3 linked regions of the Diceros bicornis minor genome follow. The protein of the gene in region 1 interacts with the protein of each later gene in a biochemical or structural test. Links are inferred from orthologs where the notes say so. Each region holds a gene or a part of one and is shown in the gene's direction. Other genes may lie near its edges.

Region 1 (7,897 bases):
CTCGTGGGCTAAATAAACGATTGATTTATTGATTTATGATAAAAGCCCGAGTTCTGGGCTCGTCTGTTACGCAGCAGTGGTAGCCGGAAAATTAACAAAGCTGCCCTTCAGTAAGTGTTCGCGGTTAGTACTAGAGTATGTCACCAGCCCACGCGCGGGAACGCGCCCGAAGCATCAGCATCTGTGGCCTCGGGCCGGGGACCGCACATCCAGGAAGCAGCAGGGGACAGATGTGGGTGAGGCCGGGTGGACCTTCTGCGTTAGTCCCGAACTGTCCCCGAGGCCAGGACAGGACTCACGGCCCGGGCACCCTCTGGTCAGCTCTGTGGTCCCCGGGCGACCCCTGCCTCCCGGTCATCAGAACCAGGCAGGGCACTGTGCAGTGGGTGTTGCTGGTGCCACCACATCCTCATCGCAGGTCGCGGCTGCCCCTCGAGGGAGGAGGAGCCACACAGCCCAGGAGGGTCCATGCCTCCTTCCGGGGCAGACGTCCCCGGTGAGTGACACCGGGGGCACCAGAGCCGGCCCCGTCGCCTCAGGTGGAGCTGTCGGGGGGCAGCTCACGCTCCAGCCCCCCATCAGGCTGAGGGGACCCCAGCCGGGACCACCTCCCTGCCTTGTCCAGCTCCCCTCACCGTCGCCGAGTCACCGCCACGCCCGGTCGCGGGTCCGGAAGCCCCCTGTTGTCATGATCCCCACGTGACCTCTGCCGGCGCAGCCCCGGGAAGCCGCCCCCTCCTCCTCGCCTGGCCTCGCAGCAGCGTGGACCATGGAACCTCCCGCTTCTGGGAACACCCACTTCCCCGTCCCCCACCGGCCCCATCTCGCGGTGGTCCCTCTGCTGCCCCCGAAGGCTCCTCCTCTTCCCAGCTCCCCAGGGAGGGCGTCCCCTGGCTCCGTCTGGGGCCTCTCCTGTCCTCACCTCGTGCATCCTCATCCCCTGGCCTCTCTCCAGGCCCTCGGCTTCAGTTACGGCCCCGGGGGCGCCAAGGCGTCTCACATTCATCTCTCAGGCCCGGCCCCACTCTGCTCCAGCCTGCGAGAGCCAATCGCCTGCTGGGCGTCTCCTCGGGCACATCTCAAGTGCATCCCAGGCCTGCCACGTCGGGGACAGAGCCTCTGGTCAGCCTCCCTGATCCCGGGGCTCCTCTGGGTGTCTGGTCTCTGAGGAAGCCCCCAGTCCGCCCAGACACCGAGGTGGAGATGGGGGGGCTGGGCTGAATGCCCCCCGACCCTCAGCTGGCGGTGCTCTGCATCCTGTCGGTTGCGCCTCAACTCCATCCTGCCTGCTCCTCCTCTGAACTGGTCCAGCCTGCATCCTCATCCACCTGGGCGACCCCACCAGCCAATAGGAGTGCTCCCGGCACCCTGGCCCCAGTGATTGGTTCAGGAACAGCATGTGACTCCCGGCTGGCCAATGAGACGCAGCCCTGGGATTTTTTTCTGGGGTGGCTGAGCTGGGAGGACCCGGGCCCGGATTCTGGAGCCATCTTGTCACCACGAGGCCTGCAAACAAAGCCAACACTCAGGAAAGCTGAGCCAAGAGACTTCCCAGCTACTTTTCTGGCCTCTGTCCCCTCACTCTGCCCCAGGCACGCTGGTCTCTAGCTGGTCCGGCTTGGCCCTGCCTCAGGGCCTTTGCACGTGCTGTTCCCTCTCCCTGTGACACTGTTCCTCCAGACCCACGTGGCTCACTTCCTCACTGCATTCTAGTTTCTGCTCAGATGCCACCTCCTGACCACCCACTCAAAATAACCCTCCTGTGCCACCCCCGTTGCTAACACCTACCATGCTGTATTTTTCTTCATAGTAATTATTGCTATCAGAAATTGCTGTTTATTCATCAGCTTGTTTACAGCCTCCCCGAGGACAGGGATTTCTGCTCCTTTTGTTCACTGCTGTGTCCTCAGTGCCTAGATTTGTGCTTGGAAGGCCATGAGTGAGTGAATGACTTAATGACTGAATCAATTTTCCAGAGGAGGAATCTGAAGCCCATAGAGATAAGTGTATTCAATTCCTATGGGTGTTGTCAAAAGTTACCACAAAGTTAGTGACTTAAAGAACACGAGTTTACTATCACAGTTCTGGGGGCAGAGTCCTAAAATCCAGGTGTGGGTAGGGCTGGTTCCCTCTGGACGTTCCAGGAGAGAATCTGTTTGTTGCCTTTTCCAGCTTCTGGAGGCGCCACATCCTGGGCTCAAGGTCCCTTCCTCCATCTCCGAAGTGCATCTCTGCCCCGTCGTCCCATCGCCTGCTCCGCCTCTGACCCTCCCGCCTCCCGTGGCATTACACAGGTCCACTTGGATAACCAGGGTACTCTCCCCATCTCGAGGTTCTTAATCTCATCTGCAAAGTTCCTTTAGCCACGTGAGGCAGCGTACCCACAGGCTCCAGGATTAGGACGTGGCGTCTGGGGGGGCCCTTATTCTCCACCACAATAAGTAACAGATGGCACAGCCAGGGAGAGGCAGAGCTGGCTTTGGAGCCGGTTCTGTAGCATCCAAAGCACACCGGCCCCGTAGCCTTTGTCTTCGACTCCACGTCCCTCTCCCCTCAAGGGGCCACATTCTCTCCTGTGCATCCCTTTTTACTTCACCCCCGCAGCCCCTCCGCCTCGTGAGATCATGTGTTTCTTCCCAACAGGCATAATTGCAGTAAAAACACTATCGTCTCTGTCTCTATAACATTCTCAGTATCTATGCCGAGAGCTTTTCAAATATTATTTCATGAAACCCATTTTACAGATAAACTGAGACTTGCTTTAGCATTTGAGGACCGTTTTCAAGGTCACAGCCGAACTCAGATTTGAATGCAGGCCTCTTCTGTGGCACATGGTGGAAGGCCCAACTCAAACTGGCTTCATAAGAAAAGAATTTATCAGCTTGCATCATTGGCACATTCAGTGGAGGTCAGGCATGGCTGGATCCAGGAGCACAAACAGGGTTATCAGCCTTTCTGGTCAGTCGAGTCAGCTTTCCTGAGTGTCAACTTTGTTCACAGGCCTTGTGGTGATGAGATGGCCCCATAACTCCAGGCCCAGGTCCAACCAGCTCAGCCACCCCAGCTCGGTGTTCCCAGAAAAAGTCCCAGGGATGGCTGAGTCATGCTGTTACTGAACCAACCGCTGCAGCCAGGGGGCCTGGGGAACTCTGATTGGATGACCCATCCCTGCAGCCAGGCTTGGGGGTCAGTCCAATTCCAACCCTACAGACTAAGAGTGAGGATCCCCCCCCAAGGGAAAACCGAGGTGCTGTGGCCAGAAAACAGGTAGGCAGAGACCCCAGATGTCCACCACCCCGGGGACATTTCCGAGCCTGAGGAGCAGGCTTTCCTGGAGGACGAGGCCCCACGTGGGACCAGCTGGAGAGGCCATAAACCCGGTTTACATCTCCAGTTCCACCCCACCCACGCAACAACCCCCCTGGGATGTGGGGTGCTGTAGGAAAGATCTCAGGAAACCTCTCTGGAAGAGTCATGATTAATCATTATTATTCATCGACGAGCTGCCACATGCCAACGCTGTGACACTGGCGCCATGGGTGAGATGAGGGTCAGAGACACCTGAACATCTGGCAAAGGGCACACAGCCCACCTTACAGAGGACGGACCACTTCAGGTCCCTGGGGTGCAGGGCAGAGGGCCAAGAGATGAGGCCCAGCTCCCCTTTATGGATCAGAAAGCCAGGGTCCCGGCCCTGGGCAGCCATTGGAAGCTGCTGCTCTGCCCAGGGCTGGCTCAGACTCCTCCGTCCCTCCCACCGCTGACATTGTTTTCCTTCCCCCACACGGGGTCGCCTGGCTGTCCCCAGCTAGACGAGGCCAGGGGCCAGGCGTTGGGGCACCTGGGGGAGGGAGTCAGCTCAGCCCAGCCCAGGTGTTGCAGCTGTTGGCTGCCCGGGACACCTGCCAGCACCAGGGCCACGCCCACCCTCCTGGGGAGCCGTCACCTGCAGATGGGAGGGATGGAGGCCAGGTGGCCACGCCCACCCTCCTGACCTAAAGTACTAGCGCGGTGGGGGGGGTGTCTGGGACCACCCTCAGCCAGGTCAGAGCTCAGGCGGATCCGGTGAAGCCCAGGGTCAGGGCTAGCTGGGGTCAAAGGTCAGCCTGAGATCAGGGCGCAGCCCGGGTCAGGCTCAGCCTGGGCGTTCGGCCGGGATGGGGGCTGAACGGACGCCGAACGGGGAGGAGGACTAATTTCCAGTTTCTCGGGGAAGCAGCGTCAATCTCCTGGGATTCCAGTTCGTCGAGGTGAATCAAGTCGAGGGGTAACTTTGGGGTTTCCCCGCTGACCCTCGGGTCCCGCCGAGCTCCGCCCCTCCGAGGGGAAACCGAGGTACCGCCCGTGCAGGACGCCGTCTGCGGGCCGGGCCTCCCCGCAGCGGCCCGGCTTCCTGTCTGCCCGCCCAGAGCGGCCGGCGGGGACCCACGGGGAAACTGAGGCTCGGGCAGCGGGGTCCGGCCGCCCCGGCCCTTCCCTCCGCCCCGCCCCGGCCGGCCCCGGCCTGCCCCGCCCCGCGTGGGGACGTCACAAAAAAGGCCCCCAAGGCCGGGCGGGCCGGGGGTCTCAGCCCAGCTCCGCCGCCTCCCCGCGCACAGGTCCGTAGTCGTCCGCCCGGGCAGCAGCGGCCTCCGGGGGTCGGAAGCGCAAGGCGCCTGCGCACTCGGCCCCTGCTCCTGCGGCCGCTCTCGCGTGCGCGGGGCGGGACTCCACTTCCCGGCGTGCCCCGCGAGTGGGCACGCAGGCGCGGTCGGGGCCTGGGTTGGCGGCGCGCAGGCGTGGTCGGGACCCGGCGGCGGGGACGCGCAGGCGCGGGCGGGCGCGGGGTCGCGCAGGCGCAGCGGGGCGGGGCGCGGGCCAAGGGAGCGCCGGGCGGCGGCGGCGCCAGAGCGGGTGGAGCGCTCCGGGGCCCCGGGCGGCGGCGGCGGAGAGGAGGAGGAAGGCGGCCCCGGCCCCGGCCCGTCCCGCGCCCCCGACGCGGCCCCGGGCCCGTCCGCCGCCATGGCCCGGCCGCTGGTGCCCAGCTCGCAGAAGGCGCTGCTGCTGGAGCTGAAGGGGCTGCAGGAGGAGCCGGTGGAGGGCTTCCGCGTGACGCTGGTGGACGAGGGCGACCTGTACAACTGGGAAGTGGCCATCTTCGGGCCGCCCAACACCTACTACGAGGGCGGCTACTTCAAGGTGCGCGGCCGCCGGACTCGGCCCCCCTCCTACCCAGGCCCCGGACCCTTCTCTCCCTTCGCCCGACCCTCCTCCCCCGGCCCCGGATCCTCCTCCTCCTGCCCCGGCCCCGGCCCCTCTTTCTCGTTCCCCTGCCCCGGCCCCCGTCTCCTGGTCCTCCTCCTGCCCCTGCGCCTCCTCGCCCGGCCCCCTTCCTCTTCTGCCCTGGATCCTCCTCCCCCGACCCAAAATCCTCCTCCTCCCCTGGCTCCGGACCCTTGTCCTCCTCCCCCTGCCCCCGACCCCCCTGCCCCGACCCCGGATCCTCCTCCTCCTGCCCGGGTCCCGGACCCTCCTTCCCCGGCCCCGGACCCTCTTCCTCCTCCCCCTTCCCCTGTCCCCCTCTCCTGCCCCCGTTCCTCCTCCCCCTGCCCCGGACCCTCCTCCCCCGACCCCGGATCCTCCTCCTCCCCCGGTCCCGGTCCCCCTCTCCTACCTCCGTTCCTCCACCCCCGGGCTCCCTCCTGCTCCTGTCCCTCCTGCCCCTGCCCCCGCCCCCCTCCTCTCCTGCCTTGGTCGCTCCTGTCCCTGCCCCCAACCCTCCTGCCCCGACCCTGGATCCTCCTCCTCCCCCGGCCCCAGCCCCTCTTTCTCCTCCCTCAGCCCCAGATCCTCCTCCCTTCCTCTGCCCTGGACCCCCTCTTCCCTCCTGTCGGGGCGACCCCTCCCTTTTCTCGGGACCGAACTGTCCTTTTTCTCTTGAGGTGACTGTCCCTCGGTCCCATCCCTCTTTCACCGGCCCCAGATTCCCTCCTCCCTTGGCCAGACCCCCCTACCTCAGCCAGACTCCCCTTTCCTCAGCTGCATCGCGTTCTCCCTCCCTCTTTTGGCTGGACCTCCTCCTTCCTCAGCTGGACCTTCCTCCTTTCTCTGCCAGATTCCCTCCTCCCCCGGCAGGGCCCTCCCCACCTCAGTCAGGCTGGGGGACCCCTTGGTGTCCCCTGACGTCCGGCCCCAGGAGTCCCCGAGAACCGGGTTCCCTTGAAGGCCGCTTCAGGCCCCCAGAGAGGAGGCCGGAGCCCCCTGTTTGTTGGATGCGGGGTTTTGCTTCCCTTCTCGCTGGGAGGCTGGGCCCGGTGCCCCGTCTCTCCGACCTGGCTAGCCTTGCAGGGAGGGAAAGGGAGCCGTGGCCCACCCGGCCGCCAACTGCCCCCCTGGCCTGCCTGGAGGACAAAGGGAGCTCCCCAGAGGCGGGAGCACTGTGGGGGCCGCAGCTTTGGGGAGGAAGGAGGGAGGGAGCGAGGCCAGTGTGGGGTGACTGCCTGGCCACTTGCTCGAGCTCCCACAAAGTGGCAGCAGGACGCGCTTGGAGAGCGGCCCCCCGGCTGAAAGCAGGGCCCAGGCCCTCTGCTTGATCACTGGGCTATGTAACGTGTCTCTTTTGGGGGGGTGGAGGCCGCCCCTCCATCCTCCGCCCTGTGCCTGCAGCCAGCGCAGAGTGCGCCCCCAGGCCCCAGCTCCTGCCAGCACCCCGGTCCTGGCTGCTGAAGCTGCGCTCCTCTCGCCCTAACGGGCCTTTCCTGGGTTCCACAGAGCAGGTGGCTCCTTGGGGCCCGAGTCTCACACTCTGGGTCCTCTCCACTGTCCTCTGCGGTGTCTTAATTCCTAGGGGTTCCCTGTTGTTGGGCAAGTGCTTCCCAGGCAGGCTGTACTTCTGTCTGGAGTGAGAAGGGACTCGGGCCCAGATCTGGGCAGCGTTCTTGGTCTAATGGTCTGAGCCCAGCCATGGCCTTGGAGCGACCCCGCTCATGTGGAAGCACTCTGCTCTTTGAGCCTGAGGGACAACGCGGGGGTCTTAATGTGCGCCAGGTGGGGAGTGAGCCCTCAGCGCAGGAACCCCCTGTCACGGCTGGCCAGGAGCCCCACACTGCCCTGCCAGGTCCTGCCAGGTCTTGCTTGGCTGGAGGCCTGGGTGGGGAGCAGAAACCACAGCCCGGCCTGCTGCAGGGCGGGGCGGGTGCTGCTGGGTAGATGTCTATGTTTGCACTTTGGGCTAATGGAGCAGCCTGGTCTGCTGGCGTGATCCCTGAGTCGAGGTTCCCTCGTGCTGGGTGGGATGAGGGGACGAGTGTGGACCGCCCTGGGCCAAATTCTGTGTCTGCCACCTGGCCTCCCCATGCAGGCAGCGGATTTGGTCACTGGTGTAACCAGTGCCCTCCTCAGCCTCTCTTGTGTGCTTCGGGACAGCTGGCTGTGAGGATGAGGGTTCAGAGCTGGGATAACGGGGTCACCCCCTGAGGCCAGGCCAGGTCTCCGAGCAAGGTTGCCTGTCTGGGAGGAGAGGACGTGGGTCTCTGGCTATTGCCCAGTAACTGGTTGCAAGGGGTTGTGGGTAGAACTGCCAGGTTAGCGATGGGAGTCATGCTGTTGCTCTAGAGAAGACTGGAGGCTTCATTTCGTCTGCCGTAGGGTCTGTCCTCAGAGAAGCCAGCGTGAGACTCAGCGTGGTTCTGCTGCCGACTGGGCCCTCCTGTCCACGTGCGGGTGTGTGGGGGTGGGGAAGACTCTCTTCGCAGGAGATGTGGAAATACAGGGAGTGGGAAGTGCCCATGGGCCTCCATGGGTCACTTCCGCCTTCCTCTCGGCCAGCCCGGCTGCACCCACTTCTCCTTTGCGAGTCATAGACGGGCCCCTGGGAAGTGCGGTGTGTGAGGGGGCTGCCGGGGAGACCTGGGTTCCA
Region 2 (8,012 bases), on another chromosome or scaffold:
AGTCATGAAGCTAGAAAATGCTACACACTGTGTGATTCCAATTATATGACATTCTGGAAAAGGCAAAACTAAACAGATCTGTGATTGCCAGGGGTGAGGGGGTGGGGTGGAGGAGGTTGAAGCACAGATATTTTAGGTTGGTGAAACTATTCTGTACTATGCTATAACGGTGAAACAAGACATTAAGCATTTGTCAAAACCCGTAAAACTTTACAGCTCAAAGAGTAAACCTTAACGTATGTAAATTTTAAAAAATCACTTAGGAGATTGAGGGATCCAGGATGGAATGCAGAATGTGACAAAAGAATCTAAATACATTACAAACATATAAAACAACCTTGCTTTAGAGGATGGGGAAACAAGGTGCTGACCTATGTAACTTAGGAAATGAATGGAATTTGTTAAGACTAAAGGCAACAGAAACTATTGTTTAAACACTGTACTCTACTGGATAATGTTGTTTTACACAGGGGTATGGGTTAACAATTCTGAAACCACAATATATGTATACTGGAATTGAACAATTAGGCAAATGGATGGTGGATGGTGGGAGCCAGGTTTGTCACAGTTGGATTGGGAGGTTGCAGATAAGCAAGGGAGGAGGCAAGAATGATCTGTGTGGTAATGCATTAGAGTTGGAAACATCAAAATGGACTCATGCTTTGCTTAATACAGATACAGATGGTTATGTATATACACATAGATGTCTCCTCGCTCTGTCAGCTGAGAAGGCCTAGAAGCAACAATGCCCCAGCAGCCGTGAGCACACCTAGCGCCCAGATCTTGATTTCTAATACCATTCTCCAACAAAAGGAACTAGGGCTCCTTGGAAAAATGGCTGATTCTAGGGTTGAGGCAGGATATATACAAGATGATCCTGGAGCATCTTGTAGTGCCAGAAAGTGAGAAAGTGCTCAACAACAGAAAAAAAGAAAATGAATAAAAATCCATAACGATATCAAATGGATACAGGAGTCAACTGAAAGATCTCCCAATGGCCAAAGCTGGAAGAAGATGAGCAACAACAACAAAAAGTAGTAGTATTGGATTATAAACCAAAGTATAAAATAAGTGTCTATAAGTTCATACTGATATAAATGATTGAATAAATAGAAAATAGACAAATCTCCTGTGCAGAAGAAATTCAAATAATTTATGGAGATGCTGCACCTCTAAGGAGGGGGAGCATAACTCCTACTCTTTAAGTGTTGGCTACACACAGTGACTTTCTTCCAAAGGCTACAGAGTACGAAAAGGAGAAAAAAGGCGGAACTTAACAGTGGAGAAGCCAAGTGATGAGGTTAACACCAACAGCAAGAAGTCATACTGATAGTATGTACTGCTGATATGATGTGATGTGACGAGAATGGCGCATTACCTCTGTGGTATTCCTCCCACGAGCACATCGCTTCAGTCTAATCATGAGAAAATATCAGACAAATCCCAACTGAGGGACATTCTACAAAATCCCTGACCAGTCATCCTCAAAACTGTCTAGGTCATTAAAAAAAACCAAGAAAAGTCTAAGGAATTGTCACAACCAAGAGAAGCCTAGGGAGACATGCCGACTTAATGTAATATGGCATCCTGGATGGGATCCTGGAAAATAAAAAGGACATGAGGAAAAAACTGAGGAAATCTGAATAAAGTATGGGCTTTACTTAATAAAAATGTATCAATATTGGTTCATTAAGTGTGAGAAATTACATACTAATCTGAGATGTTAATAATAGGGAAAACAGGTATGTGGTAAACAGGAACTCTTTTCATAATAATTCTATAAATCTAAAACTGTTCTAAAATTAAAAGTTTATTAAAAAAAGCCTCAAGGGAGACAATGAACGGATACCCACAGAAAAGTGACATCATCCTTTTGTCGTACACTATGAAATGGCCCATTGAAAAAAAAAGGCAATTAAAATTTCCAAACTCTTTGAAAGTTGCAGTGCTTATTGCTTGCAGACATTAAGGTGACAGCCTGAAAAAAGGAAAAAAAAATTCTCAAGGAGGGAGATAGTTGAGACAACCGAGTATATAACATTCTCATGGACTTTTGAAGTTTTGGAGGATCATCCTCCAGAGTACCTTAAATCTTGGCAGTGTCTTGAGAATGCTCTAGTTGTCTTCCAGGACCCTCCTACCCTCCTGTGGTTGGATTACTTCTGCCATACCAGTGCTTACACCCTATTGGGCAAAGGGTTGCAACAAGGATCCCAGGTGAATTCGTTTTTTATTATTGTTGTAACAAATTACCACAAACTTAGTGGTTTAAAACAAAACAAAAGGTATTATCTCACTGAAGCTTTACAACATACTTGTCTGATATATTCTTGTTAGTATTTTCATTTTTATAGATAGTAACTTACCCAGGCTTACATAGTACTAAGAGGTGGACTGTGGTAGATGGTCTCCAAAGATGGCCACCATATTAGCCTTCCACTGTTTTCTCCACAAATGTTATTTCAGAGAGAAATAAACTCATATCTTGTTTAGGTCACTATTAGTTTAGGTCTCTGTTAGAACAGCTGAAGCTATATCCTAACTAATATGGTTCCAAATACAGCCATTTTCCAAGTTCTCTTAGTTTTACTTCTGTAACATTGTCCCTGCCCATCCTGTTGTCTCTATTCCCACTGTCATTCCACTAATTCCTTTTTCCTCTGTTACCAAAAAAGCCTCCTGAGCTGGTCTCTAATCCAGTGGTTCTCAAGGCAATTTTGCCTTCTAGGGGATATTTGGCAAAGGTTGAAGGCATCTTTGGTTCTCACAACCGAGAGGCGGGTTCTACTGGCATTTTGTGGCTAGAGACTAGAACTGCTGCTAAACATCCTACAAGGTACAGGATAGTCCTCCACTTCAAAGACTCATGAGGCCCCAAATGTCAATAGTGCTGAGGTTGAGAAACCCTTATCTAATTAATACATCCCCCCACACTCTGCCAGTGATATATTCACATTTCAGATCTGACCCACCTGCTTGTGGTATACACCTGTCAGGCTCACGGCTTTCTATCCTCTTTTGAACAGCATTCCTATATTTGGGGAAATTCCAATATTATAAGTCTCGCTTCCCCAAGGAAGGAGTTTGGACCCCAAATTCCAGTCTTCTTGGCAGCCAGGACTCAGGCATGGGTCTCCCTCAATCAGATGCATCCTTATGAGGCTTTGATTTAGAAGAGAGCAAGACGAGGAAATAGGCTCTTTTGGAAGCCTGGCATTTTGTCGGTGGAGGAGACCGCAAAAACGTGCGGCATTTGAAGGTGGAAGCCATTCCCCAGTGGTTCCTGGCAGCGGTGACAGCAGTTTCCTCCACTGTGGGGTGGGGTGTCAGCAGCAATCCCAGTCATGGTAGTTTCCTTATCAGGCCAGTTCTTCTGCGTGGTTCTGAGCTTCATTCCTGGAAGCTTAGCCTGGAGCCACTTCTCCAGTCCTCCCCAGAATACTCTGAGCTAGCCAGTATCCTTTTAATATGCTCCTTTTGTGCTTAGTCAGCCAGAGTCAGCCTCTAGCGCTCAGAACTAAGAACGCTGATAAAGATTCCTCTGCTTAAAACTCTCCAGTGGCTTCGCATACATTCTAGAATGTGTCCCAAATCCTTTGCTGAGCTCAAGGCTCTTGTTTATCTGAGATATACCCACTCTGTCCTTCACTCTGGCCACACTGAGCCACCCTGGTCCTGCCACCCTTCCTTGATCCCATATTGCTTGCCACTAAAGAACTCTATTGACACAGCAACTTTTCTCTATGTACCCTGATCCCCAGGACTGTTCTTATCTATATCATAAACAAGACACTTCTTACACTCTACTACAGGAGTTTACTCACTCAACTGTAAGCTCTGCATGGGAAGGAACATGTCTTTTCAGTCTTTGGGTTCTCAGCACCTAGGATAATATCTGGCACAAAGTAGGTGATTAGCACATTTCCTTACTGAATGAAAGCCAGGATGTGGGCAAGCACTGCCACCTACTGGAAGAAACTTTATTCAACTCTTTTATAAGGATTTGGACAATGGCTAGCATCCAAGGATGAAAGGTGATGACGCTCTCTCCCTCATCTAAGTCATCATCACCATTATTGTCAGACCCTCTGTGGTAGCCAGTCTCCTAGATGGTGCTCAATGACTCCTGTGTATTGGTATTCATGCCTCTGGGTTGATCCTCCCACACTGAAGGGTTGGTTTGTGATCAATAGAATATGACAGAAGTGATGGTGTGTGACTTCTGAGGCTAGATCATAAAAGACACTACGGATTCTGCCTTCCTCTCTCTGGGATTGCTTGCTCTGAGGGAAGCCAGATGTCACATCACGGGGACACTCAAGAGGTCCCTATGGGGAGGTCATGCAGTGAAAAACTGAGGCCTCCTGCCAACAGTCATGTGAGTGAGCCATCTTGGAAGCAGAATCGCCAGCAGGAGTCAAGACTTCAGATAACTGCAGCCTTGGCCTACATCTTGACTGTAGATGAGAGACCAAGACAGAACGACCCAGCCAAGCCATGCCGCAATTCCTGACCTATAGAACCTGTGGGACAATAAATGTTTGTTTTCAGCTGTTACGCTTTGGGGTGATTGTTATGCAGCAACAGATTACTGATATACTCTCCGACAGAGATCACTGACTACAAGCTGTTCTACCATTTTGCTACTGTCATAGGAGGAAACCACCAGAGCCTGGGCTCAACCTAAGGCCACGGAGGAAACGCGGTAAGAGCCAGGCACACCTGGGCCTTGCGGAGTGGCGAGCTGTACTGTCTCCAGCATCCCTCTCAGCGTTAACGCCCTCCAGGTACACCTGGAGGGAGCGGGCACAGCCACGGCGGCGGAACGACGGGGACACAGGCGAGCCGCGGCCCCTCGGCGCCTGCGCAGTGCGCCCCCGCGCTCCCAGGTGGCGCCGTTGCGCGCCGAGTCATCGATCGCAGTCCCCGAGCGGCCTGGCTCGGCGCAGCCGCCCGCCGCCCGCCAGCGGGGTGGGCTCCAGGGGGCGCCCTCAGGAGAGGGGCGGAGCGCTCCCGCGCCAGAGACCCGCTAGCAGGCCGGCCGCCGTAGTGTGGCCTTCTGCCGGTGACAGCTCAGCACCCCCACAGCTCCGGTAGTCGCCGCTTCGGGGTCGCCGCCGCCGCCTCTTGAGGCGGGAGCTGCCCGGCGGCGCCGTGGTCCCCGTCGCCGCCTCCAGGTCCAGGCCCCGGGGCCCTCCCGCTGCCGCCGCCGCCGCCATGAAGCTGCGGGTGCGGCTTCAGAAGCGGACCTGGCCGCTGGAGATGCCCGAAGCGGAGCCGACGCTGGGGCAGCTGCGCGCGCACCTGAGCCAGGCCCTGCTGCCCGCTTCGGGGTACAGGTGGGCGGCCGCGGCGGGGCCCCGGGGGAGGCGGGTGGCGCGGGCACTCCCCGGGCCGTCACGTGAGGCGGGCGGAGAGCGGGGCGTCGCGGGGCCGGGCCCGGGGACTGTGACGCGCAGGCCGGCGGGGAGCGGGCGCCGGGGGCGGCCCGCGGAGACATGGCCCGGCGGGCGGGGGGCTCCGTGCCCCTCCAGGGTGAGCCGTCCCTCCGCCTTTGCAGTCGAGGAACCCTGGGGTGGGCCAGGAGCACAGTTCTCGCGCCCTGTGCAACGTCCAGTTGGAGAGGACGCGCTTGGCTGGGTGAAACCTTGCCAGGCTCTCAGGGGTTTAAGTTAAGTTCACCCTCTCCAGCTGTCGGAGTATTTCAGTGGAAAAGTTTGGAAAGTGCTGGAAGGAGTTAGAAATCGGCCCTCCTTCCGAGGCCACCTGTAATTTGTACCGCTGTGAGGCTGCGATAATCCTAAAACTCGTGGGGTGTTGACTCACCCTTTGCGGAGTTTTAAGGTGTCGGCGGGTTTCAGATCTTTTAATTTTCCTGGGCGAGATGTTGCTTTTTTGCTGAAACTAAGATCAGTGTTGGCCTTAAGTGATGACCCTGGAGAGCTTGCAGTTTGGGGGCAATGACGTTGAGAAACAAAGCGTCAAATTCTGTTGTTCGTTTATGAGGCTGCAGATGAGGCTGCTTTGTTTCCACCGAGGGCATTTTCTGGGGACAATAATCTGGGAGTAGAGGACTGTTAATAATAACCTTGGGAGTAGAAGTTAGACCGTCCAAAAGTAAGGATGGTCCTCTTCAAATATTCAGCTATCGAATTTGAAATTTGTGCTGAAAAAAATGAAAAAAAAGTTCACTGGGGCTGTTTAGGTGAATTTTTCAATGGAAAACCTCTCTGTTAATTGGCTCTTTTTATAAACTTTATTTTTAGGGAATTCAGTAAAATGATGCCATATTATGAACTCACCCTTTCGTTTTTCAGGTTAAGGCACTATTACGTTAAAAGTAAGCCTGTTTTTCTCTAAATTAAAAAATAAAAACAGAAAATAATGTATTGACGTAACTCCTTTTAAACATTATATTAAGTGACCTGCCTATTGTTATTTCGTTGTGTGAAAGCTAAGTGTTTTGCATGCGGGCGTCCGTTACTCCACCACAAATTTTCAAAATTCTCTTTTTAAAGTATTTTCATATATATATGTGTATATATTTTATTATTATTATTTTTTAATTAGGCGAGGCAGTGTTGAAAGGATGTGAAACCCAATATGACTCTTTGTTTACCCAAGAGCTCAAGTTAGTTTCTCTTTCAGGTTTGTTTTTACGGTGGAGAATGGTTAACTGGAAGGAATGTAAGCTTCAGCTTGTGAAAGTAAATTCATTTCTCTGAAAATATGTTCATTTTAGAATAAATTGGCAGTTTTAAAATGTGTTTATATGACATTATTATTTTTCGAGTGTCTTTGCTGAGCAAGTGGATCTGGGATAGCCATAAAATATTGTTAAAAGTCTTGAAATTTCTAGGATACTTTTCCCGATGAACTTTTTTCACTATTTCAGAAAACAGAATCATTTTTTAACCCCTTTCCTGGAAAACCATATATTACTTTAGAAATAGCCCTTCCTTTTTTCTAAAGGGGGAGGGAAGGCCGACGTTTTTATTAAGCAGACAATTCTTTGTGTTTTCTATAAGTTAGATATTTGAACGAACATTGTACTGGATACCATTAAAAAGAACCTTTTGCTTTGACAGATGATCCATAAACACATAGTTCATTTGAGGTGTCTTTCTTTTTTTCTCCCGAAGTTGGGATGGTGTTTTTCTGGGCAGCTGGCAGATTTTCAACACTTATCAAAGCATTTGAAGACAGAAGCATAGCTACTTATTTTCTAATAAGCAGGAGTATTTTCTAAAACTTTAGTAATTTCTCTATCCAAAGACACTTTAGTTGGTAAGACAAAACGTATTTACATGTGAGAGAAAAACATAAATGAATTATTTCGAGCACTTTTGAAAATGCAGCATTGTAAGAGAGAATAAACAGAATATTATTTTCAAAGGACTCGTCCTTTGTTAACCTCTCAAAAAGTTAATGAAGTCAGCATTGCTGAGTATAAATGTCCTATAAAATGTTCTACAGTGGTTTGTTAATTAATCCTCACTGCTATGTGATGAAATGATGGTTATTTTTTCAAGCTCAGATGATCTGTGATGCAGAAGGGATGGGAGTTCATTGCTTCAGGCTAATTTGAGCTCTTAGCTTGTTTAGCAATGGGTTTTTGGATTTGTGCTGTCTTCCATAAAAAAGACATCATAACTGACCGTCAGTAAGAAGGGTGAACTTGAACCTGTCCGTAGGAGGGATGAGTTTGTCCTCAGTCGTCTACATATACTCATCTAACTCTTTGTGATTATGAATATTCATTGAGGACATGGGTCTAGTATTTTGGAACCAACGTAAGCTAACTGTCCTGTAAGGACATCGAATAGGTAGCCCTGATTTCAGTCTCATCTTGATCTTCCCAGCTAATGTTTGTTGGTTGCATTTATTCCACAAATACTTTTATTTGCCAAGTGCTGGAGATAGAGTTTTGAACTAGACAGACGAGATACCTGGTCTTATGAAACTTAAGTTCTAATGGTGAGCGTGGGGAAGAGAGAAGATAAACAAATATG
Region 3 (6,991 bases), on another chromosome or scaffold:
TTGAAGGCTTTCTCTTTCTCCCTGCTTTGTACTCCATCATTGTACCATGTTCTTCCATGGATTACTTTCTACTTCTGTGGTTTTTTTGTGCATGTGGTTGTCTCTCCATCTAGGGTCTATATTCCCTAAAGGCAGGGACTGTGACTTAGTCGTCCTTTCACTCCCCACTGAGAATGCCTTGGGGAATGCTTTACACATGGTAAGATCACATCAAGCCACTGGGCAACACCTCCTAGTGTCACTCAGTCAGTGATAAAACCCGTACAGTGGCCTACATTGTCTTGTATGATCTGATGTTCCTGCTACCACTCTCCCCTTGCTCCTTGCTGTTCCTTGAGTACATCAGACAAGATCTCACTTCAGAGCTTTTGAATTTGCTGTTCCCTTTATTGAGATACTCTTTCCCCAGATATCCACATGGCTCACTTTCTCAAGTCCTCAGGGCTGCTCTCCAAGGTCGCTTTCTCAGTGAGGCGCTCCCTGACCTCTCTGTTCACATTGGGACCTGGAAACAGTCTCTTTCCCTCTCTCCTGTTTGTTGTTTCTCCACAGCATGTATCACCTCCTTACATAGTGTATCTTTTACTCATGTATTACTGTGTTTATTTTCTGTCTCCCCTCCCCCCACGAGAATGTAAGCTTCTTCCCAGTTTTAAATCTGTTTACTTCTGAATCCCCAGAGCCTGGGATATTGAAGACACTCAATAAATATTTGTTGAAAGAAACAAAGAATAAGCAAGTTAATAGAGGGTACTCAATAAATATTTATTAAACTGAGTGAAAGCTGTCAAAAACAGATGACTGTGAAATTTCCAAACTCTAAAAATATGTCGGTTTAGGAGAATAGTGAAATTGAGAGAAGCTGCCTCGTTATAAACATCCTCAAGGAAGGATTAAAATTGTGTGCTTGTGGTGGGAGGGGCAACTGGGCAAGGAAGTGTGTACCTGTGCAGAAACATTAGGGGCTGTATAACTCCCTCCCCGCACCCCCCACCCGCCGACTGCATCTGAGGGGCGGGCTTGCCCAGCCACTCCATTCGGACACTTGTCTACCACACAGGTGTTTTCTTTTAAATTATTTTGGTCTTTGCCTATCTCCCCAGCTTGTGAAGAACACAGAAATCTTGGGTGTCTTATGTGACACTTCTCAGCTCTCAGCAGGAAACTACCAGGAGTGAAAACGACAACGAAAACATCACCCAGGACTAGATTCTGAGTCTTGGGGAAGCAGAGCCCATTTTAGAGCAGGGCAAGTGGAACGTTCTGTCTTCTACCGAAGCTCCGCCTTCACACTGTTTATCTGCAATTTTTCTCCCTGGCTTACTCTTTTGCAGCCGCCTACTTTCCGCAGGAGGATGGCGCTCTGATCTCCGCGTTCCCTCTTCCCTCGGGGACTCCATAGTATTTTTTTCACGCTTCGTTGCTACTACAGCAGACGCCTGCCTTCTCATTATTTGCTGTACAGATCTCCGGTGTCTTGACTGTAAACAAAACACTTTAGATCATAGCAAGGTCGATGTAAGCACAGCCTTTCAGCCGGCAGCCAGACGTCTTAAGGTGGCGTGCTCCACTTTTCAAGATTTAACAAAGCAACAAAATGGTGCTCCTACACACCAGTTGAAGAAAGAGTCAGGGTGTGTAGGGGATAGAAGTACTAATTTTCTACTTTTATGTAAGATATTAATTCCATGAATAAAATCAAACTTTTGTGACAAGGTGTAATACTCTAGAATATCTCCATTTACATGGTAGTTTGTGTATTTATGACTGTGAATTTATGCTTATGTATAACATAGAATTCCTGTGTAGTCTAGGACTTATGTAAAAATTTCAACAATGATCAAATTTCAGGAATAGGGTATAAATTATGGTATTGAGGCCTACACTAATTTTCCTGTTCCTCTCCCCCTCTTCTCCAATCCAGTAAATTAAGTGGGGCATTAAATGTAGAAAAATTAAGATGAGACATCTTACTCTGATCGCAGGTGAAATATTTTCTATTGGTCAGGTAGGAAGTCCTGACTTTGAAACATGTTTTGGGCACTGCCTCCCTCACTGCTCTCTGGCTATCACCTCATCCTGGAATCTGCATTTTAGTTTAACTAGTGTATAGTGATACCAAAGGCTGGAGACAGCTGCCTTTAAACATCAGTGACCACAGGCCATATCAAGGAGACATGTGCAGGCAGCCCAGGGCAGGAGAAGGAGCCATTTTGAATCATTTATAAGAGAGGAGGACTTGCAGAGGACAGCACAGGCGAATCCAGACAAAAACCTGAACCCATTGGGGCCATCAGGAAGGAAAGGAACAGAAAATGAACCAGCCTGAGAGTTAGGAGACCTGTGTCTAGTCCTGGCGGTGCTACCAACTGGATATGTGTCCCTGGCTAGGAAGCCTCTCTGAGTCTCAATTTCCTCAGTGGCAAAAAGAGAGGGTTGAACCACAGGGTTCCCAGGGCCCCTCCCAGCTCTTACCTTCTGGAGAGTATGAGGTGAGGCAGGCACAGAGAGTGGACAAACATGTGGTGAAGAAAACAAGTTAAAAATCAAACTCATGTGTAGCACAGATGCACAAGAAAACATTGTTGCTGTGTACTATTAGAACTGCAGGAGATTACTTTCCAGTAAAATGTATTAACCTGGGCCCAAACCAAGATTGTATGTATTGGGGATGGGGTGGGGAGGCAGTTAAAGACCCTTTGAGCTCTGTCTCAGATATCATAGCCCTGACCATCCCGTTTTAACTTCCACCACCGTGCTCAAGATCATATGGACAGGTAAATTTCAAGTTGCAAAGGGGAGCAGAGAAATGCCCACATAATAATATCAGAAGTGAGGACATGGTGTGGTGATTTTATAAATCACTTCATAATCTGGAGTTGCAGATTGTTTTCACCCTTCAACGACTTGGAGGCCTCGAAAAGCACTCACTTGCATCTGAATGTTGTTCTGGGTGGGTTAAAGCAGCGAGTCTGGGGGGAGAGAAAGGTAGAGGAAGGAAGGAGCTGTTGTATTTGGCGGCAGGACTCAGGTAGAGGAAACTGCTACAACTCGGGAAAGAATTGAAACATACAAAGAGGAGACGAGTTCCCACACGCAGCCCATGTCAACGGCCTTCACTGTGCTCGGGAAGCAAGAAGCCGGGCCAGGGGTGTAACCTCGTTTTGAAAACTCAATGTGTCTGAGACGGCTACGGGACTTGGGAGACCAGGTTTTGATTTTGAACTCCCTTCTTATTTTTATTGAGGGAGAGCTTGGGTTTAGAATACATTATAAATGCTGCGCCTACTCCAGGCTAATTTATAGAAAGCCGTTCGCCTAGGCTTCTTCCCTAAGCCCCCTGCCTCCCCTAGAACAGCTGCGACTTCTAGGTTAAGGGGGAGCTCACCACTGCTCATCCCCAGCCAAGTCACCCAGGCAGGGGGCTCCCAGCCCCTCAGGGAATGTTCCCTGCCTCCCCCCCAGTGCCAGAGGTTGGGGCCACGGCTGAGAGCCCAGCTGGGGGCAGAGCTCCCAGCGTCTGCCCGCACTCCCAGCTCGGCGAGCGCGGGGAAAAGCTTCGGAATCATCTGGTCCAGCCCCTTCATTTCCCGGGCGAGGAGCGGGAGGTCGGGGCTTCCGAGCGGCCGCGCGCCAGGCAGCGCAGCGCCGGGACTAGAACCCAAGGCCCCACCGGCCCCGCCGCCCAGGCCCCTCCCCAGCTTCCCGGCCGTTTGGCTAGTTTGTTTGTCTCATTTTTAATTTCGCCGAGGCCAGCCAGAGCAGGTTTGTTGGCAGCGGTACACCTCCAGCAATCACGCGACCAGCCAATCTCCGGCCGGCGCTCTCGGAGTCGGCGCGCGGGGAGGCGGGGAGGCGGCCGAACCGCGCCGGGGCCACCTTAAGGCCGCGCTCGCCAGCCTCGTCGGGGCGCGGCTCCCGGCGCCGCAACCAATGGATCTCCTCCTCTGTTTAAATAGACTTGCGGTGTCAATCATTTTCTTCTTCGTCAGCCTCCCTTCAACCGCCATATTGGGCAACTAAAAAAAGGGGGCTCGTCTTTTCGGGGTGTTTTTCTCCCCCTCCCTGCTCCCCACGTTCTCGCCGCTCCACGACTCGGACGCCGGCAAGGTTTGGACAGGCGCTCGGGGCGCGGGACCCGCGGGCTTGCAGCGGCCCGGACCCGGACTGGCTCTGCCGCCCCCTCCGCGCCGCTGCGCTCCCCGCCCTCCCGCTCGCCCGTCCGCTTGAGCGGCGGCCGCTCGCGGCTGCCTGGCCGGGGCTCCCCCTCGCCCCCTCCCCCAGCCCGGCGCGCTCCTGACGCTCGGGCGCTCTCTCGGGGGTGTTTGTTGCTCTCCGCTCCGAGGGCAGTCGCGGGGCTCGTAAGAGGGGTCCGGGCCGGGTCGGGGCGTCTTGTTTTGTTCGGTTGTGTTTCCCGAGAGCGGCGGGCGTCAAGACCCGGGAGGAAGATGTCAAACGTGCGAGTGTCTAACGGGAGCCCGAGCCTGGAGCGGATGGACGCCCGACAGGCGGAGTACCCCAAGCCGTCCGCCTGCAGAAACCTCTTCGGCCCGGTGAATCACGAGGAGTTGACCCGGGACTTGGAGAAGCACTGCCGAGACATGGAAGAGGCCAGCCAGCGCAAGTGGAATTTTGATTTCCAGAATCACAAGCCCCTGGAGGGCAAATACGAGTGGCAGGAGGTGGAAAAGGGTAGCTTGCCCGAGTTCTACTACAGACCCCCGCGGCCACCCAAAGGCGCCTGCAAGGTGCCGGCGCAGGAGAGCCAGGATGTCAGCGCGAACCGCCAGGCGGTGCCTTTAATCGGGTCTCAGGCAAACTCAGAGGACACGCATTTGGTAGACCCAAAGACTGACGCGTCCGACAGCCCGACGGGCTTAGCGGAGCCGTGCACTGGGATCAGGAAGCGGCCTGCCGCCGACGGTAAAGACCCTGCAAACGCCTAAATGTCTGTCTGTCCGGGGCACCGCTCTGCCTGCTCGAGGGTCTTCACCTCGGCTTTCTTTTCAGCGTATTCTGATGTAGCTTTTGGGGAGCGAACTTTCCTAATCTTAGGTTTTCAATGCTGTCTAGCTGACTGCTGGTCTGTTTACGATTAAGTCAGAAGCCTGAGATTGCCTTATCTGATCATTTCTCTAACTGAAACCATCGCAGTCCCCCCTGGCTAGCCAGGGGTAGGTATGTGACAACGATGGGATGTTTATCAACGGCCTCCCCTTCGCTATGGAGAGCAAAAAGCTTTGGGGCGTAGAAGACACTTTCTGTTATGTGAAAACAACCTCGTTTTGTGCCCTGCAAGGCCCCTGGGAACGACGGATCCAGGATTGTGGGTGGAGGTGGTGGGTTTTTCATGCCCTGACTATTGTGCCAACTTCTGTCAGCCATTGTTTTTTTTCTAATAAAGATTGTGTGTGTTCTTTTTAAAATTCCTTCTTGCCCTTAGATTCCTCTCCTCAAAACAAAAGAGCCAACAGAACAGAAGAAAATGTTTCAGACGGTTCCCCGAACGCGGGCTCAGTGGAGCAGACGCCCAAGAAGCCGGGCCTCAGAAGACGTCAAACGTAAACTGCTCGGTGGGTTGATTACTAGGAGCAAATAACTAACACCCGAATTGGACTGCAGGAAGTCGTAGGCTTTCAAACCCCAAGATACCTGATCTTAGTGGTTGCTGGCAGATTAGAGCTTGCGGGTTTCTGTTTTGTTTATATTTTTTGAGGTCAAAAAAGCAGGAATGGAGAAGGCTGAGACTCACTGTGGGGTTACTGTAATTCTTCACAGTTTCTACGTCCTGAGGTCATTTTCCCTTGACACACACAATTACTAGAGCAAGTGTCCCAGACAAGTACTTATAACCAAGGCCCGGTGGGTAGGAAGGTCAATTCCCTGAGTCCACTAAAAATGTTGGGAACAAGAGGTTCTTTCCCCATTTGAACAAGAACTGGGGTATGCCTCAGTCCCACTTCATGAGAATTCATTTCCCAGAGTTCAAGTTGAGTCAGTAACAGATTTTGAGCCATACATGGAAAAATGGCAAATAAATTTAAATTTTGAGGGAAAAGTTAGGTCCAGACGGCTCATATTTGGTTAATCAAACCGTTAGAAATGTGAATAGAGAGGTATATCGCATTCTTTTATCATTTTCATAAACTGTTACTTTCCCTGTTTTCTGACAAGTTTTGGGGACAGAGAAGGAAGCTGTGTATTTAAAAAAAGCAAAATGGAAAGCTCAAAAATACTCAAGTTCCTACAGAATTTCTGATTACACTGAAGTTGCAAAGCAGAAGTTAAATTAACTCTGCCAGAGTAAGCAATCCAGGAACACGTCAGCATGTGTATGCTAATCGCACTGTAACAGGATGATTTGGATATTTGTAGGGGAAATGGATAGTAGTTATCAGGGCTGGCAGGGTAGGTCTACCCCGCACAAGGGAAGTGGAGATTTTTCCATCTACTAAAATTTGATCAACATGAGTAGCTAATTTGAATAATTTAGCCCCCAATTTTACTTGGATTGGCTATCCCTAATGATCAAACTACATATATTAATAGCTTGTAAACTTCTTATAAACAAGGACTGTGACCTCTTTTTTCCCCCAAAATACACTCATAGCCTAGCATATAAAGAGATTTTAATAGATGTTGATAATAACTTAAGTCCTCATTTATAAAAATTTAAAAATAAAGAACGTAGGGATTTGTTGGTTTTGTTTTTAACTTTGTTGTTTTGTGTTTTTAAGTCGTAATGTCATATATATGACTTTTTCACATACATCTGATATTTTTCAGAACTTATACAAAATGGCACTATAGAACCTCTATATTACAGCTGTAGATGAAGTGGGAAGGTTGGATGAAAAATTTTCCTGAAGCAACCTGAATACTTGCAGCTCTTGTTTTGTTATGACTTGTGGCTGTTCATCAGATGAGCCACAGTGAATCAGACCTACTGGATTTTGATCTGGCCCCATTTTGACATACAGAGAAGCATTTG

Evidence for each region.
Region 2: the proteins of CDC34 (region 1) and FBXO7 form a complex in vitro, tested with the Homo sapiens proteins (2 studies listed by BioGRID, with this or other methods). The link is inferred for Diceros bicornis minor from reciprocal best matches to the Homo sapiens genes CDC34 and FBXO7.
Region 3: of the proteins of CDC34 (region 1) and CDKN1B, one has a biochemical effect on the other in vitro, tested with the Homo sapiens proteins (3 studies listed by BioGRID, with this or other methods). The link is inferred for Diceros bicornis minor from reciprocal best matches to the Homo sapiens genes CDC34 and CDKN1B.

What each region holds. Positions count from the first base shown.
Region 1 is NW_026691553.1:212,572-220,468, forward strand, and holds the start of CDC34 (ubiquitin-conjugating enzyme E2 R1), read left to right. Parts: upstream 1-4,896; 5' UTR 4,897-5,001; coding exon 5,002-5,178; intron 5,179-7,897. UniProt on the Homo sapiens protein: E2 ubiquitin-conjugating enzyme that accepts ubiquitin from an E1 ubiquitin-activating protein, and catalyzes its covalent attachment to other proteins by an E3 ubiquitin-protein ligase complex. In vitro catalyzes 'Lys-48'-linked polyubiquitination.
Region 2 is NC_080764.1:16,477,830-16,485,841, reverse strand, and holds the start of FBXO7 (F-box only protein 7), read left to right. Parts: upstream 1-5,002; 5' UTR 5,003-5,217; coding exon 5,218-5,339; intron 5,340-5,466; exon of another isoform or gene 5,467-5,498; coding exon of another isoform or gene 5,499-5,535; intron 5,536-5,571; exon of another isoform or gene 5,572-8,012. UniProt on the Homo sapiens protein: Substrate recognition component of a SCF (SKP1-CUL1-F-box protein) E3 ubiquitin-protein ligase complex which mediates the ubiquitination and subsequent proteasomal degradation of target proteins and plays a role in several biological processes such as cell cycle, cell proliferation, or maintenance of chromosome stability.
Region 3 is NC_080756.1:48,208,233-48,215,223, reverse strand, and holds the start of CDKN1B (cyclin-dependent kinase inhibitor 1B), read left to right. Parts: upstream 1-3,981; 5' UTR 3,982-4,448; coding exon 4,449-4,923; intron 4,924-5,443; coding exon 5,444-5,565; 3' UTR 5,566-5,573; intron 5,574-6,991. UniProt on the Homo sapiens protein: Important regulator of cell cycle progression. Inhibits the kinase activity of CDK2 bound to cyclin A, but has little inhibitory activity on CDK2 bound to SPDYA. Involved in G1 arrest. Potent inhibitor of cyclin E- and cyclin A-CDK2 complexes.